Linked DNA regions of Lepisosteus oculatus. The protein of the gene in region 1 purifies or fractionates together with the protein of each later gene. This does not show direct contact. Links are inferred from orthologs where the notes say so. Each region holds a gene or a part of one and is shown in the gene's direction. Other genes may lie near its edges. The genes, in order: dapk1 and ifi30a.

Region 1 (7,734 bases):
TGCCGCCAGTAGAGGCTAGCTAGGTAACTGGCCCTGGTCTGATCAAGGGCTACTTATTCGCTTAACTGTAAATTAGAAATCCCCAGAGGTAAACAGTAGCTAATTTAACCATGTGCTTCACTTAAGCAGACAGAATATAAGGAAAGTGAGGATTTGAGAATGAGTTGGTAAGAAAGAGAAAAGCAGAGAACAGAAGACAAGAGTAAGCAACCATCCGCCGTTACCAATCAGTTTCTCCTTGAATAACTGAACCCCAGGGTATAAGGAGCTTTGAAGAGACTTCTACAACATTTAGGGAAATGTCTTCTTTTCTTATTTCTTATTTAAATTTCCTTCTGTAAGTTTGTCATACACATTTTGAAACATTGGATTAATGTGATGCATTATTGTTTGTGACTGAAGTTTTATCTCTTTATACTAGCATTGGTTTAGTTCTTGATATATAGACCCCCCACCCCACACCCCCACTGCCTGTCACCCCTTTTATCTACCATGCCCTTTAAAAAATGCTTGATATCCATTATTTTTTAATTATCCCTGTTATTCTCCTCCCTAGCCATTTTGTAGTTATTTCTTTAATATCACAACTAATGCTGTAAGATCTTGCATTTTATTCCTTATGCATGTGATATAAGCATTTATATATGAAATACAAAAGATTAATGAATTACTTGATGTCTTATTGGTTTTGAGATTTTTTAAAAACAAAAAACAACCCTGAGTTTATATGATTCTACCAAATCTGGCCTGTTCTAAAGATTCCTTCCCATAGTTCCCTAGTTGAAATAAATTGTCCTCAACTGAGTCTTACCTGCAATCACAAAACTATCTATTTGAAAAAACAAACAAACATGAATGACTTTTAATTTTCACAAAACTGTGTTTGAGGGTAGAACTGAAAGTTTGAATTGTTATCAAAACCTTACAATTTTATGAGCATTCTTCTTATGTATTGTTTTCGAAGGGTGAAAATGTTTAGTAACATGATTACCTTCTTGATACATTCCACAGTAAACTCAGGTTGAAGTTACTTCCTTATATTAAAGTTACTGATTTCCTTGTATTAACCTTGTCCTGCTTTCTGTTTGTTCATAGAAAAACATTTCTACAAAACGCACATGGCAAAAGAAAAGAACTCAACATTTCTTTAGTTTATACTGTTGCTAATACAGGCTGTAGAATAATTGAGGTAACTGTGATAAAAATACAAAATGCTTTTGATTTTAAAATGTTGTATGAAGTGCATTACTATGCTAAATATCTAAAGCCCTTCTGTTAATTGGAGAATATATTAAAATTCTGATCTGTTTGATCAGATGGGTAAATGATTTACAAAATCCTCCTCTGACCACCTTCTCAAACCCTGATTTAGTGCCCACATACTGTATCTGATTAATGCTGTTTAACTTGTATAAATTAAGCTTCATTTGATTAAGGATTTAATTAAGAATACAAATCACATTAAAATACCCATGTTTTGTGAATTGACTATAACTAAAATAGTCACAGAGACAAAAAAAACCCACTTTGGAATCATCTTTATCAACATTAGCCTTGTGCACAGCTGACATGACAAGAGCAAACAAAGAACTACAGTGTGCCAGCAGAAAAATAAATAGCAAATCAAGAATGCAGGTTATGCTGGGATACAAATTCAGGAAGCAGTTTGACTGGACAGAAATAACAAGAAGAAAATGAACTGAACTAAGAAGAACGACACTAACAACTACAGCCTTTCAGAGTAATGATGTAATGACATGGATATTACATGAGTTTGAACCCCTTTACAAGACGGTGATGTAATATTTACCAGTGTAATCCGGAAATATTACTTTTGACAGCGGTTTAAATTTCCCTGCACATTTCTCATAGACCAGCTCTTCAGCACACAAAATAAAAAAATGTATCATTATCATGTGAGCTTACTGAGAATATTACGAACCCTTCTCACAGTAGTAGTTAAAATATGCACCACATCAGAATGTGGCAAACAGTACTTAATTGGGGGAAAAATCCTTTCTTTCTAAGATCTAAAAATGGGTCACATTTAATTTAATTCTTTTTTATGTTTTTGAATAAAACAACCTTAAGAAAAACCCAATGCCAAATGCCAAGTAAAAAAAAGAGAGAAAAATAGTTTATTCGTAGTTCTTGCATTGTTATGGTATATAGCTTTTGCTTGAAACATTATTTGAGAATATTAGTGAATGTATCAGCTACTGCAAATTTAAATCAATTGATATGTCCTTTTAAACAAGCTTTTTACTGGTGCTTTCTAGCTACCTTTGGTTTCCCATAACTTGTGCATAGCTGGACAACCCTTCCATTTCAGAATTCAAACTAGGGCTAATGGAGACATGCAAAACAACTATTTAGGAAGATTAAAAATGTGAAATTAGAGATACATGATATACAGATTCATAATAAATGTGAATGGCAGAATCCGCAGCATTAAGTAAAACATCAATCATCATCATCCTATAGCCCAGAAAAAAAAAGATTGCAAATGCTTTAAAAAATATTTTTTGAAGTATTTTTAAAAATACTATGCAGAACGACCAAATGAAACGAACGACCATGATCATATGAAATAAAACCCAGTCATACAAATGCTGGATGATATGCTGGTGGCTGGACTGAATTGATGTGTACAGCTTGGATTGGGCAGTCACTTGTTGGGGCCAGCATTTTCCAACCTCAAGATGAAGTCTATGAATGACAGGCCACAATCGGGGGGACCACGAGTCATGCCACCTCATCAATAGCTATTACCTATGAAGTCCAAGTGTGAAGGTCTGGGCAGGACTGTCTAGTTGAACTCCTTTTACAGTGATTGGTGGCAACCTGACCACACATCCCTACATTGATCAAGTCTCACTTGTTGTCCTTCCTACAGTCTCATCCTCACATGGCAACATTCCAACAGCATAGAGCACATTCCCATGATGCTTGTGTTACACAGCTTTCTTGAAAGTTGAGACTACAGACTTCACCCCCATTGAACATGAGCAGTGAGATGAGCTGGGATTACATGTGGTACCTAGAGATTATAGAGCACTGAATGGGCACATACTTGTCTAGGTTCAATGAGAGGAAAGGAACAGAATCCCTCAAGACAGCATCTGCAACCAGTTGCAAAGGATTTGTCACAGATGTACAACTTGTATTGTTTCCAGTTGTAGGCCACACACGACTACTTTGTAAACTAGCCTAGTAGACAGCAGATCTCCTACTGATGACAAATGATAATAAGTACAGTATAATGTATTTAGCTGTGTCATTAAGTTCAAGTAGGTAACTGCATCAGCATGTGTAGGCTGCAAAGGATTTATTACACGCTGAAAAGAAAAGAGACTCAATGTTTATTTTCAGCAGTGGAATAAACCTTTACTAGTTCCTTTACTTTTGTCATGTCTGTTATAAAAAGGTCAGTACACCAGGTATAAAACTGACATCCTCTCTTGTCCTGTGACGCCTGCAATATAAAGTTTTAGTTCTGTTTTCAGAAAAAAAATCTTGTCAGACCTGTTTTAGTTCCTCTCTAACTGTAAGAATTATTTTCTTATCTTCCTTGTTGACTTATTTTTGGACACGTTTTGCAGTTTTGCCTGTTGTTTTGCATGTCTCTTAACTGGAGACTAAAAAAAGGATTCTGTTTGCATTACTTTATTTTCCGAGAGAACTGGTTTTTACTTTCTATTCTTCCTTGCCTATAGTATTGGTATTTATATTTTGTCTTTTCCCTGCAGATTCAAAAGTAGGAAAAGGACTTTTGAGTTTAAAAAAATCAAAGCCACTTATCATACTAATTTGTTGTAGGTTATTTTGATGAAGATATTATTAGCAATTTCTGGTGGTCAGCTTTGGAAGTTAATATGCCTGGACAGTTCTTGCCTCTTCATTTAATTTGAGTTTCAGTTCTGGAAATATCAGAGATTTTATTTTGTTTATAAAAATTCATAAGTAACTGATAAGTAATAAGATCTTAAAAGAAATTGTAGAAAACTTTAATTATAATGTAACAGTATGTCAAATCAGCAATATGCTGTAACACACATCAGGGAACTCAGTCAACACAAAAATTCAATAACAACAAAAAACATGTTTTTCAGGTTTGGTTTTGCTGAGGATACGTCACACACGAATGACTTACATAAACTGGTCGGTATGTCTTTCTCCTTTTTTAACCTGTTAATGCAGTGCCTAAAGGAAACTAGGAACAAAATCACCGACCTTTACAAAAACCTCCAGCATTTCTAAGAGGAACTGTGTTAATCTCATTATTCACACAAAATATGAATGTTGAAATATAGAATGTAACAAGTTAATGAATACGGAAATTCAAATTCATATCCAAACTTTTTATTAAAGCCCTCTGTCAAATTTTGAGACCTAAAGTGCGATAAGCCAGTGCATGAAAGGAAAGATGTGTTTATTATATGTCCAGACACCCGAGGGATTCATCTTTCCCTTTCATGCACTGGCTTATCGCACTTTAGGTCTCAAAATTTGACAGAGGGCTTTAATAAAAAGTCAGGGTCGTTTCTTGGCGTTAATACTACAGCTCTCTCATTGGTTAGGCGAGTGTGTATTTCTCCTGGGTTACCGCACTATGCTGCCTCCTTGAGACCGAAACACACCAGTACTGTGTGTAACACATAGAACACACGCAGCGAACGCCACAGTATTAATACAGACATTGTTACAGTCCTCCCATTTCCTGCAACATTCCTTTTTAATGTCTTCTTAGGAAAACGCGCATTTTGCAACCCTTGTTTCCGGGGAACACCAGCTACCTGGAAATTGACGGCAGTTTGGATTCAAAGGTACTTCTTTTTTGTCTTTATCCGGTGCTGGATTTTCAGATGTATTTGTCCGCAGTTCCTGGACATAAAGAGAAGAAATAAGGCCGTAGCCGAGTTCTTCAATTGAAATTGCTGAATGCACGAGGTGTGTACACACAAATGCATATACATTTTCATGACGTTACCGATGTTTCCGATGATTGTGTATGAGGTTTAATCACCTGGTTCCCCCTTGTGTATTCGGGAGATTTTGTAGAGAACGAACAATTCGTTTGTGTTTCGCTAGGGATGTGAGTACCCTGCTCCTCTCCAAGGTCTGCTCTCCAAGCAACCGCAAAGCTTTTAATGAGGAATTTATGTAGCTTCCTGGTCGGGGTTACACGATGTCTTTCCGAAAGGTGGACGTTTGAGACATCGGTACTGGATGGAAAGAGTAAATATAATTCAGAAAAAAAATCTAACAACGGGGGGAGTAGAAGTGTAAAAGGCGATTGAGTCTACCTTCACAGTTTTTAGTGGGCTGCAGAAACTGCTGTTTTAGAAAATAAAACCCGCTTCTAATAGAATGTATTAAGTTGCTCGAGTAGTTCATTAAAAATCACGTCTGTCTTCCGTTTGTACAAATTCCCTGTACCACCTGTGAGAAGAGGTTGAAATATTGTAAACCAATTCTTATTCTCCTAGACCCAGTATGAGTGGGGGTCGGTTTGAAATGTCAAGAGGCTGATAAGAGATGGGCTGCTGAAATCGCTGGGTGCTGATTTGGGAATCCCAGGATCAGAAGTGGCTACCACCATGACCACCTTTAAGCAGGAAAATGTTGAAGATTATTATGAAATCGGAGAAGAGCTTGGAAGGTAAGCAAAAAGAGTGTCGCTTAATTTATTTGCTATTTTATCCTCTGGCAAGTTTAACTGAAGTAATGAAGAACCATTGTGGCATGGCATGTGTTGTTATAAATACATATTTCACCAGTTTAGATAAACCTTAAAGCAGATGAAAATTGTAAGGTATACTCTGAGATGTACTGCATAGAAAATGAAATGTAAATTGATTTTATTTCCGGGGATAAATGCTTTACAAATGGCCTGTTGCATTGCACGGATAGTAGGCAATGACGCTGAACAAAAAGACTGAAAGTAAAGAGACAGTTTGTGTTTAGATATTGATTTGCCTTTTCAGTTCAATTTCCTTTTGAGAAGACTCTGTAAAAGAGGGATTTAATAACTGCCTCACAGGCGCTGCAAGTTCAGTAGTTCCTCTTTTTGAGAAAGCTTGAAGGAAATACTGTATTTTCCCCACTCAGTGACATCTTGATCTTCATTCATTAAATCATCTAAGTATATTAATTGGAAATGAAATAATAGATGAATGTGAATTTACAATCCTTCTGTGTTAAAATCTAGATATATGTGCCATGTATATTCAGGTTCCTGTTTTTACTCCGTATACTATGTACATGCGTTAATAAACATTGAAACATAAGATGGAGTTCGTGACTCTAAAAAACTCCACTGGCCAGCTAGTGCTACTTGTGCATAATGTAAAATGTTGGTTATTCCTTGTTAGATTATCAAAACAGTTGAACTTTCTTTAAATAAATGGATATTAAAAGGACTGGTAATCAAAGGATGAATGTTGCTGTCATAAAGAGGTGTTTAATACATTACCTTCATTTTTTTCTGTTATGGGGAACCATTTGAATGACTGTGGTATACATATGTAAGAGTTGTTTTTTATTCTGGATTTGTGCAAATGAACTTTTTCAGTAGTAAAAAATCTGGGAATGTGCGTACTGAACTTTTATGTTGGTGAAAATAATAGATCCTGCACATTTAATATGTTGTTATTTGTTCAGGAGTATAAGCAGATTTCAAATTGCTTATACTGTTCACTACAGTTTGTTTCACTATATCTGTGCACCAATATGGATGGATTGTTATTAATTTTAGATTGTAAAAATATGTTTCTATGCTGCTTAGTATGTATCAACACTCCCCATAACACTTTTATTGTTAAACAAATTGACTAATCAGTATTATTACAAAATGGTTGCTTTGTGATAATGTGTTTTTGTTTTTTTTTTCCTTTAAAAGGGAAAAACGTAACAACTCCAGCATATTCACCTGCTGTGTTGCATCAGAGGTAGAATGCTAAAGGGAAACAAATCTTATTTATACAACAACCCTTATGAAACCAGTTAAAATTTCAGTGTACTAGGGTAAATACCAATGTTATTTGACAATTTTTATGGGCTCTTCTCATCTACTCCATTGACCACTATGCAAAGGGAACACAGTTTGTCTAAAGCAGTATCAGATTACGGATTGAAAAGAACAGAGCTAAAAGAGGCTATTTGTGTTGAATGCAAGTGCAACAGCTTATAGTTTAACTGTGGGTTCACTTATAAATTTGTGACTGACATATTATTACTTTTCATGTCATGGTTACAGACAGTCCATGTTATTTCACCACCTGTCTTCCCATTCTTTCATTGCTATTTTTAAAATGTGTGTAGGTGTACTGCTTAATGGAGTTTACACTAAAGAAGAGCATCTGCACCAGCTGAAATGTTAATATTCAGTTATTCCAAGAAGAAATCTTTCTTCTTACCTCTCAGTTTTGTTTGGCTTCATTCAGTACCAGCATTTCTAATAAATATTAGAAAGGTTCAGCTATGGGCGATAAAGGTCGTGATAGCAAAGGCATTTTTTTTCAGTCTGCTGGTCCATGGTGGTTCCTATTGAGAAGTATTGGAACTGATTGTTGCTCATCTGGATTTTTGAAAGCTAACGATTCCAGAACTTGACCTAGCCTGTTCATGGAAGATTCCAAAGATTACATTCAATTTGTCTTTTGATATAGGCTGCTGTAGAAAGAAAAAAGTAAATTATTATTATTACTCACATAATCTGTCCATTTAACATTG
Region 2 (8,104 bases), on another chromosome or scaffold:
GAACTTGAAGAGTAGAATACCCCTTTGAACATCAGTGTTTCCTGCTTTTGGCAGATGAGATGAGATCTATTGTGTGAAGGAAGGTTTTCAGGAGTGCAATTAGATAAGAACTGCAAACATTATAAATTAAATAACCTACAGGATTACCCAGATTGTAACAATATCAATATGGCTCTGAATGTCCTCTAAACAACCTTGTCTTTCTTGTGTGCTTGTTTTTTTTTTATCAGCACTGATCAAAGCTGTTATTTCAGTCTCTTGGTGACTCCTAATGAGAAGTGAGAGGGTCTAAATGTGCAGAAGCAGATGGCAGGGGAAATAAATCTAGCACCGTCACAGTGCACTGACTCATGAAACCTTTAATGTTGCATAAGTACAGTGTGCAAAATTAATCTGCGTTTAAAGAGCACTGTTTGCTGAAGGGAAGCGATTCCTACTACTTGATCTGATGTAAATACAACTACTTCTCTTTATGAATAGGCATTTATCAGATGCAAATGAATTGAAAAGCATGTACGATATAATAATACAGTACCACTTGATTAGATATAGTCATAAGAAGTGGGTGCCCACTACACTACTTGTGGAACCACAAGACCATCCATCAGAATACAAGATACTCCGATGCCGCAGCTGTATCACCCTGCAACTCACAGCTGGCTGCCCACTGAAGCTCAGCAGGTGTGAGCCTGGCCAGTACCTGGATGGGTGGCCTCCAGGAGCTGCTGGAAGAGGGGTCAGTAAGGGGGCGCTCACCCTGCAGTCTGTGTGGTAAACCCCCCTGAACAGTGATGGGGACCCTAGACTGTAAAAAATTAGCCTTCGTTGGGATGAGATGTAAAACCGAGGTCTGCAGAATGTCCTTTTCTGCAATAAGAGAGGTTACAAAAGGGGCACAGCTGTCCCATTTAGAGTGTTCATTTATTACCAGCTGGATGATCCCAACATTTCACCCAGCCTTCCAACAGAAGCCAGCGCACCAGCTTTGACAACATGGCTGGGTAGTGTTCCTCATTCCCACAACCCTCTGTGGAGAAACACGCTTCCTCATAGCCTCCCCTTGTGTTTTGTGCTTTGGAATTCTGAAAAAAGTCCACTTGACTTTGTATGAAAAAATATGGCAGATTAAACTGGAATACAGTTATTTTACAATCACTGAAACCGTGGTGCAGTCAGTACACTTTGTACTGCTGGCCTCTCCCATTCATGTTGAGGCGAACATTGGTCGTTGTAGTGGAAACAGCTCTATTTAAAAGGAGAAGTGTCAAACACCTACTTACCACTTACCGACCTGACAAGCCTTATCACTGCGTTATCTTATTTTTGTGGTTTTTTTAGAAACATTTGCACTTTTGCCAGCGGCTGGTAATATTCTTCACGATCAAGTATGATTTATTGTTTTTCAGATCAGAAATGATCTCATATTCTGCAAAACATGCTTGGATTGTTGTACAGACTTCTCAAACTATCCACCTTCCAGCCTTTTCATATCTTTCACCTGCTCTTCCTGTATTGAGTGGGCTTTAAGTTGGACCTGTTTGCACGAGACTGCTGGACTTGGAAGTAAAGTCTTACAATTCGATGAGCCTTTGTACATTAAAGTTAAATGAATATTTAATATTTTAGATCAGTTTATTTTATTGAATCAACTGTTACATTTCAGGCATTACACAGGCATTTTTTAATCTGTTTCAATTTATTTGCACAACAGGGTATTTTACCCATGTTACTTGACATAAGGCTAAAACTGCAATCTTAGCACCTTGGACTTGAGTCCTATCCACTCCCCCACAATGCAAAAAGGAGGGGAAAAAAAAAATCACACATTTTGTCCTTTTTGCATTGGTTTCTAGTTTTACAATGAGATAAAAATATACTATAACATTTTATTGCTTTATAATTGTCAATTATGGCTGCAGCTTTCTTTAAAACTTACTGACGTTATTACGGACATTTTGTTCACTGTATATTTGTAACATTTGCCATGTTTGCAAAGACATATGTATCTGTTCCATTAACTGGGAGACACTAGGAAAGAGAATGAATATCCTAATTCATGATCCTGATATTCTGAAATGAGTCTGAAAGTTCAATTCAAAAAGCTTAGAAAAAAATTACATCAGCCTTTGCTAAACAAATATTGAATTTCTAATTAGATGAAGGCTCAGCAAGACTATTGTGCCGGACAAAACTGAAGTCTGAATAAAGCAGAAGAAACTAGTTGGTAGAACTCAAAAGACACGTTATTCATTCGTAAACAAATTTCTAATTGTTGTCTATTTCCTCAATCTGTCATGACATATTTCCTTACAGAATTTAGGGGGTTTTCACCAAAAGCAGATGGCGTAGATAAACTGTGGGCTGTTTTTCTGATTTCACAGTACAATGAAATTAATCACCAGTGGAGTTCATTTCCCTAGAAACAGATGATTTATGCAACAGTGATTGGATCTTCATTTACAGGGAATTTTCTGAATGGACAAAGCACCACATCAAAGGAAATAGGGAATCTGTTGACAAGTAGACTTCTTTTGCTGACATGCCTGAAAGAGGTTGTAATGTTATGAACGAATCTATGAATGATGTTTAAATAAATTTCACTGAATAAACATGAAATGAAACAGGCAATACAGTTTGGCTTCTACTTAGTCACAGCATTTAGACCACTATTTGGTAAAATGGTTTTGATTTGAAACCTTTGTAGTAGATACTGTGTATGGAAAGGAATAAGCTAAGAAATGTACTCACAATGTGTACCCCCTTTTCTGTGTTGTCTCCAGACGTTAACTGAAACTGGGGTGGAGAAAATCTGAAATGTACAAACATTTAGAGTTGATACCCAGAAGCAGATTTGGTTTGGCACACTGAGTGCCGTTAGTATGCGGAATAGGTTATTGCCAGCTCTTGGTCTTGAATTTATTACACCAAGATGCTTGGATTTGGAGACTAGCTACGTAAACATGAGGTCCTCAGGCCTCCCAACTTTTTCTCCTTTAGGGTCTAGGTTGAGCACTGCTGACTCAAAAGGCATGGCCTGCACAATCTGCCTCAGGCCTGGGATTCATTGGCTCATTTTCTTAGAAAATGATATCATGCGGAATCATACAGCTTGTATTTCACATCAGTTTTGTTTTTTAAATCTAAGAGCTAATGTGTCTCCAAGACGCTCCAGATCAAACACTGACATCAGTCTATACCAGCTGTCTATACCTGTAATCCACTCACTTCTGTCATGCATACTAGAGCTTGGGAGCTCTTTGCATGCTTCTGGACACTAAAAGCTCTTTTTAGCAAAAATAACAAACAGCTATGCATCAACACGTCACTTTTGAATTGATAATGCTTAAAACAAACTCCTTAAACAAAAGAAATTGGTTGACAAGGAACTGCTCTGTTTGGTTTCTGAACAGAAGCCAATTTCCTGGAAAATTTTTTTAGAACATGTAAAATCCCCTCCAAATCTACCTCAGAGAAGGATTCACAACAGTGTTTTCACAAGGGGCAAGACAGTGTGATCAGTTGGATAACATTCACAATCTCTCAGGAACAGAATAGACTACAAGATCTGCGAACAAAACAAAATCGATTAGTGACAGGAAATGACCAAAACTCTCACATTTTATGCACAATGAAAATGCAACGGCCCATGTTGTATGCTGACATCTTCTCCATATGTCCTTCCATAATGTTATTCATATTTTAAATAGGTGTGTTTGTTTAATTTGCTTGCTGGAATATGCAAATACCCATAACCCTCTATTGGATAAAGTGGATATAAATAGATGGATGTTCTTTGGGATAACAAAATAAGAGATCAAGTAATGCGATTTCAGAAAAACAAGGTTCTCAGCCTTTGGTATTTCAGTTCAGGAAAAGTTGCCAAAATTAGTAGTTGGGAAAAAACATATAGGCTTTGTATTAGTAGAATAGTAGTGAAACTCATGGTTATGCCTTGTCTGTTTCTTCAAGATCGCCTGGTTGCTATGTGCGTGATCAAAGGTCTGTAAGGGCAGCTGCTCAGAGAATGACATGTTCTTCTTCAAGAATCAGCAGAACAGTCCAGTGAACCCTGGAACCCAGAAACCTGTCTCCATGTGCAACAGGTTACATCCTGGAAGGTCATCTCACTAATCCAAGAATATCTGCTCTTCAGCCCAGGAACATCACAGTAGTGTTTTTCATCTGCATTGAACTTTCTTGAACCTCAAAGGAGAATTATCCTCCACATCGACAAAATAACTGTCCATTTTGCAGCAGGACAATGCAAGACCACTTATAACCAGTATTTCAAAGGTGCAATGTATGGATGAAAACCACTTTTTTACACCATTTTTACCATGGTCAGCTTTTTCTTCCAACTTTTCCACAACCGGGCAATCTTCCACCAGCCGGCTGTGGCAGCCCACAGCAGTCTGTCCAGAGGCTGATCGGGACCGAGCGTCTGCACTGCCAGGATTGTTAATGCTCAGTAACTTTTCACGTTCATTTTCACATTAAATCATACTTAAACCTAAAAAATGTCTCCTGATGTATTTGCATTTTTGTTGGACCTCTGTGTTTAAAATATTCTGGTTAGTTCCATTAGACCTGAGGACCGTGGTGCTTTTCAGCATCAGTACCACTATATATTGTAACGTCCCGTGAGAGACCGAAACTCGGCACAGCTCAAGGTTATTCCAGTCCTTGTCCAACAGGTTTGCGCGTCTTCATTTCACATGCTTCACTCGTGATTGCGTGTCCTCCCCCACCCCACAAGTATAGATTCACTGACAATAGCCAGCTTGAAGTTCATTCACTTGTTTATGCACCTTTTTTCTGCATAGACACTCATTTTTACCGAGCTGAGCATGTACTTCAAATTGACGGCGCAGTTAACCGTTAACCTGGATTTTCAGGAGGACGACAGGGCTGTCATGAGAACAGTCACGAGGTATTATCAGACAGGAAGCGATGGAGGGAGGAGTTACTAAAAAAAGGGGGAGGTGTTACTGTTGTCTCCTTTTATAAGCGTCTACATAAGGGCTAAGGTATTGTCGTTTGATTTGTTTCCGTGAGAGGGTGCAAAAATGAACAACCATTTGGTACTAGCTGTTTTCGCCTTGTGCGCGGTGGAGATTAGTTACTCCAGACCGCCCTGCAGGTACCCCCCGTCGGAGTGGTGTAAGACTCGGCAGATCGCCTTGGAGTGTGGGGTAAGTTTAAGTTTTCACGGGCGACTACATCCCACTCATACCGGTGTCTCACGATAAGCCGCACGGTTGTACAGAGGGTTGCAAAAAAAATCCCTTTTTTTGCTGCTGTACCGGCTTTTGCAATGATTTTTTTTTTATATTTTAACGATTTTATCATTCATAAGTTTGTGCAGAGCGACGGGTTGTATTCGCATTGCTGTTGCTCTTGCTAAAGGAAAAAAAAACGAAAGTTAGCTAGAAACACGCCACGGTTTATTGAATGCATTGTATGCTTTTTCTCAGTCACTCCACAGACATTCGACATCTTCTGTGGAGATTTTATAACCTTCAGAAAAAAGGGTTAGAGAACAGTACAGTATAGAGCCCACTGTCTCGATACAGTTGGAGCGTGTTAGTTTCCCTTTGAAAACCGACGTGTTTGCGTGGGCGTTAATGTCAGTAAAAATGACACTGAAGAAAATCCCTCTCTGATTTATTTAAAGTTATCGAATTGGCTTTCTGACTGCAGTGACGCTGAAATTCCCCTTCGTTCCCTCTGGGACCTTTTCCATCGATTCCAAAACTGAAATCTCTAATTTAGGAAGGCAGTCTGGTTTTGAATAACAATGTTTCTGCCTTGCCGGTTGTTACTTTATTCAAAATAATAACACTCGCTTCTGCTAAGTTACTGAAGTCCCGGCGAGTGACGGAACTGGGGTATTGTGAAGTTTTCGGAAAGCAATACGATTATATTCTCCCCGGCCGTCAAACATCACTAAAGGGTACAGTTTCATCTTTTCAGAATTGCTTTTAAATGTGAGTGTATCCTCTAACTGCCGCATTAAGAACAATCGTTATACCCAGATTTAACCTCCTGTTTGTGGATAAAAGGTTTTGATAGAACCATCTGCAAACATGTTTGGCAACGAAAACAATGAATAGCGTGTTTGTTACTCTTTTTAAATACTTTATAGTGAGCTAGTAAAGGGAATATACCGAATGACTAATAATCGTGATGTTGATGAACTTTTTTTATTGGTGATTTTGCATTACATTACTTGTAAAAGTATAGCTATCCATTAATCATAGATGCACAGATTGTGCATCAGTTCCTCTCGATGTGGGTGGGACTTGCTTTTATCTCCCTGTGTGCAGGAGTTTTGTCCCAAACTGAATACAAGAGTCATGCATTACAAATACATCATAGTGATACTTACAGGCTATAGAAATCAACTGTAGAAATGTAGAATTTACAGCATGAAGGAAAGAATTTAGAAGTGTGCTCTGTTTTTCCCTGATATCCCAAACCGCTTAAAGTCATGTTTTTACCATAGCCTCTCTTTCAGGGTGTATTTAACAGGAAAGCAGAGCTATAAACGATCCAGATACCTGCAGTAATCTGGCATTGCTGTGGAGTTTCCTCTAAAGCATGTCTAACATTACTGCTGAGCCTCAGCAGCTAACGTTATCCCTTCTTGAGCTGCTGTTCAAGTAAAACTATTTTTCTGCAATTTCACTCACGAGATCAATAAAGTATCTATTTTAGTCACCAAGGGCCACAGTGTAGATTTGCCAGATCTCTTTAACTTGGCTTTTTACAGTCCATAAAGTAGGGTTAAATTGGACTCTCACCACCCATCCATTCTCTCACCACTTCTTTCTGAACCAAAGCTCAATTCAGAGTTCCAGGGGATCTGGAGCCTATATTGGCAAGCAATGTACACAAGTTAGGGTACAGCCTGGACAGGTCACCAGTCCGTCACAGGGCAGACACAGACACTCGAACCTTGGGTATTTCCAGAAGCTAATTAATCTACCAATATGATCTAGGACTATGAGGAAAAACCCACACAAATTACAGGAAGAACATGCAATCTCCACACAGATAGCACCCCAAGTCTGGAATTGAACCCAGGGCCCCAGCACTGGCGAAGCAGAAACTCGAAGCACTGCACCACTGTTTCGACCTCTAAGACGAAGTTCTAAAGAATAAAATCTCAAAAGTTGGTCAACCTATTCAATTACCTGCGATTAACTGCGATCTCACCAGGCTCTGTGGTGTCACGGGTAACTGTACCTTTAATGAAACTGATTCTCTGAAAATCTTCTGGGGGGGGAAATCCAATATACTTCTAGGTGTAGAAATGATTAGGTTAATTTATTGGGAACCAAGCGTAACAGACCCAAGACGGAGACCATGGAAACCAAGCTGAAAATACAACCCCAAGAGCCATGCCTGGCGTGAAAGATGCAATGCCGTTTTTGGTCTCCGCAGGTGGAAAAGCAGTGTCTGGAGTACGCTGGCACAGCTGCCCCCAATGTGGAGGTGGCCCTGTACTACGAGAGCCTGTGTGGCGGATGCCGGGAATTCCTGGTGGAGATGCTTTTCCCCACCTGGTCGATGCTTCACGACATCATGAACGTGACGCTGGTGCCTTACGGAAATGCTCAGGTAGACGCGACTTAAAAACGCGTTTTGGTTATCCTGAGTTTTTGGTTGCTTCTATTAAAATTGCCTGATGGTATATCTAAATAGTCAAGTGTTTTTTTTATTGTCCAGGTGCCGTTGATCAGAAATGCTCAGGCTCTGTGTTATAAATCATTGCTATATGACCATTGTTATCTCAGGATGAGAATTATTAACTATCTTGATCCTTGGCTTGATGAAAGGCACAATTTGAGATTATCTGCATGAAAAGAATGTCACAAGATTTAACTCGATGAGAGAAAAAAAAAAAATCGGTAACAGCATCCTATGATAGCTAATCTCACGTGATAGCATTCAGATTTTCTGCTTTATAGACAAGCAGGAAGATGTCATTGATGATCCCTCACATTTCTAAGCCCCTTCATTTACAGAGTCTTCAGTAAAGGACTTAACTAGCAAACTTGGAACGGTTTTTCTTAGTATTGTAAATTGTGTGCCATGTCTG

The links.
Region 2: the proteins of dapk1 (region 1) and ifi30a purify together in Homo sapiens (affinity purification with mass spectrometry; 3 studies listed by BioGRID and IntAct, counting the BioPlex papers as one, with this or other methods). This does not show direct contact. The link is inferred for Lepisosteus oculatus from reciprocal best matches to the Homo sapiens genes DAPK1 and IFI30.

The regions. Positions count from the first base shown.
Region 1 is NC_090698.1:22,675,417-22,683,150, reverse strand, and holds the start of dapk1 (death-associated protein kinase 1), read left to right. Parts: upstream 1-4,574; 5' UTR 4,575-4,826; intron 4,827-5,489; 5' UTR 5,490-5,600; coding exon 5,601-5,662; intron 5,663-7,734. UniProt on the Homo sapiens protein: Calcium/calmodulin-dependent serine/threonine kinase involved in multiple cellular signaling pathways that trigger cell survival, apoptosis, and autophagy.
Region 2 is NC_090724.1:3,634,525-3,642,628, forward strand, and holds the start of ifi30a (gamma-interferon-inducible lysosomal thiol reductase), read left to right. Parts: upstream 1-5,010; 5' UTR 5,011-5,066; coding exon 5,067-5,192; intron 5,193-7,446; coding exon 7,447-7,623; intron 7,624-8,104. UniProt on the Homo sapiens protein: Lysosomal thiol reductase that can reduce protein disulfide bonds. May facilitate the complete unfolding of proteins destined for lysosomal degradation. Plays an important role in antigen processing.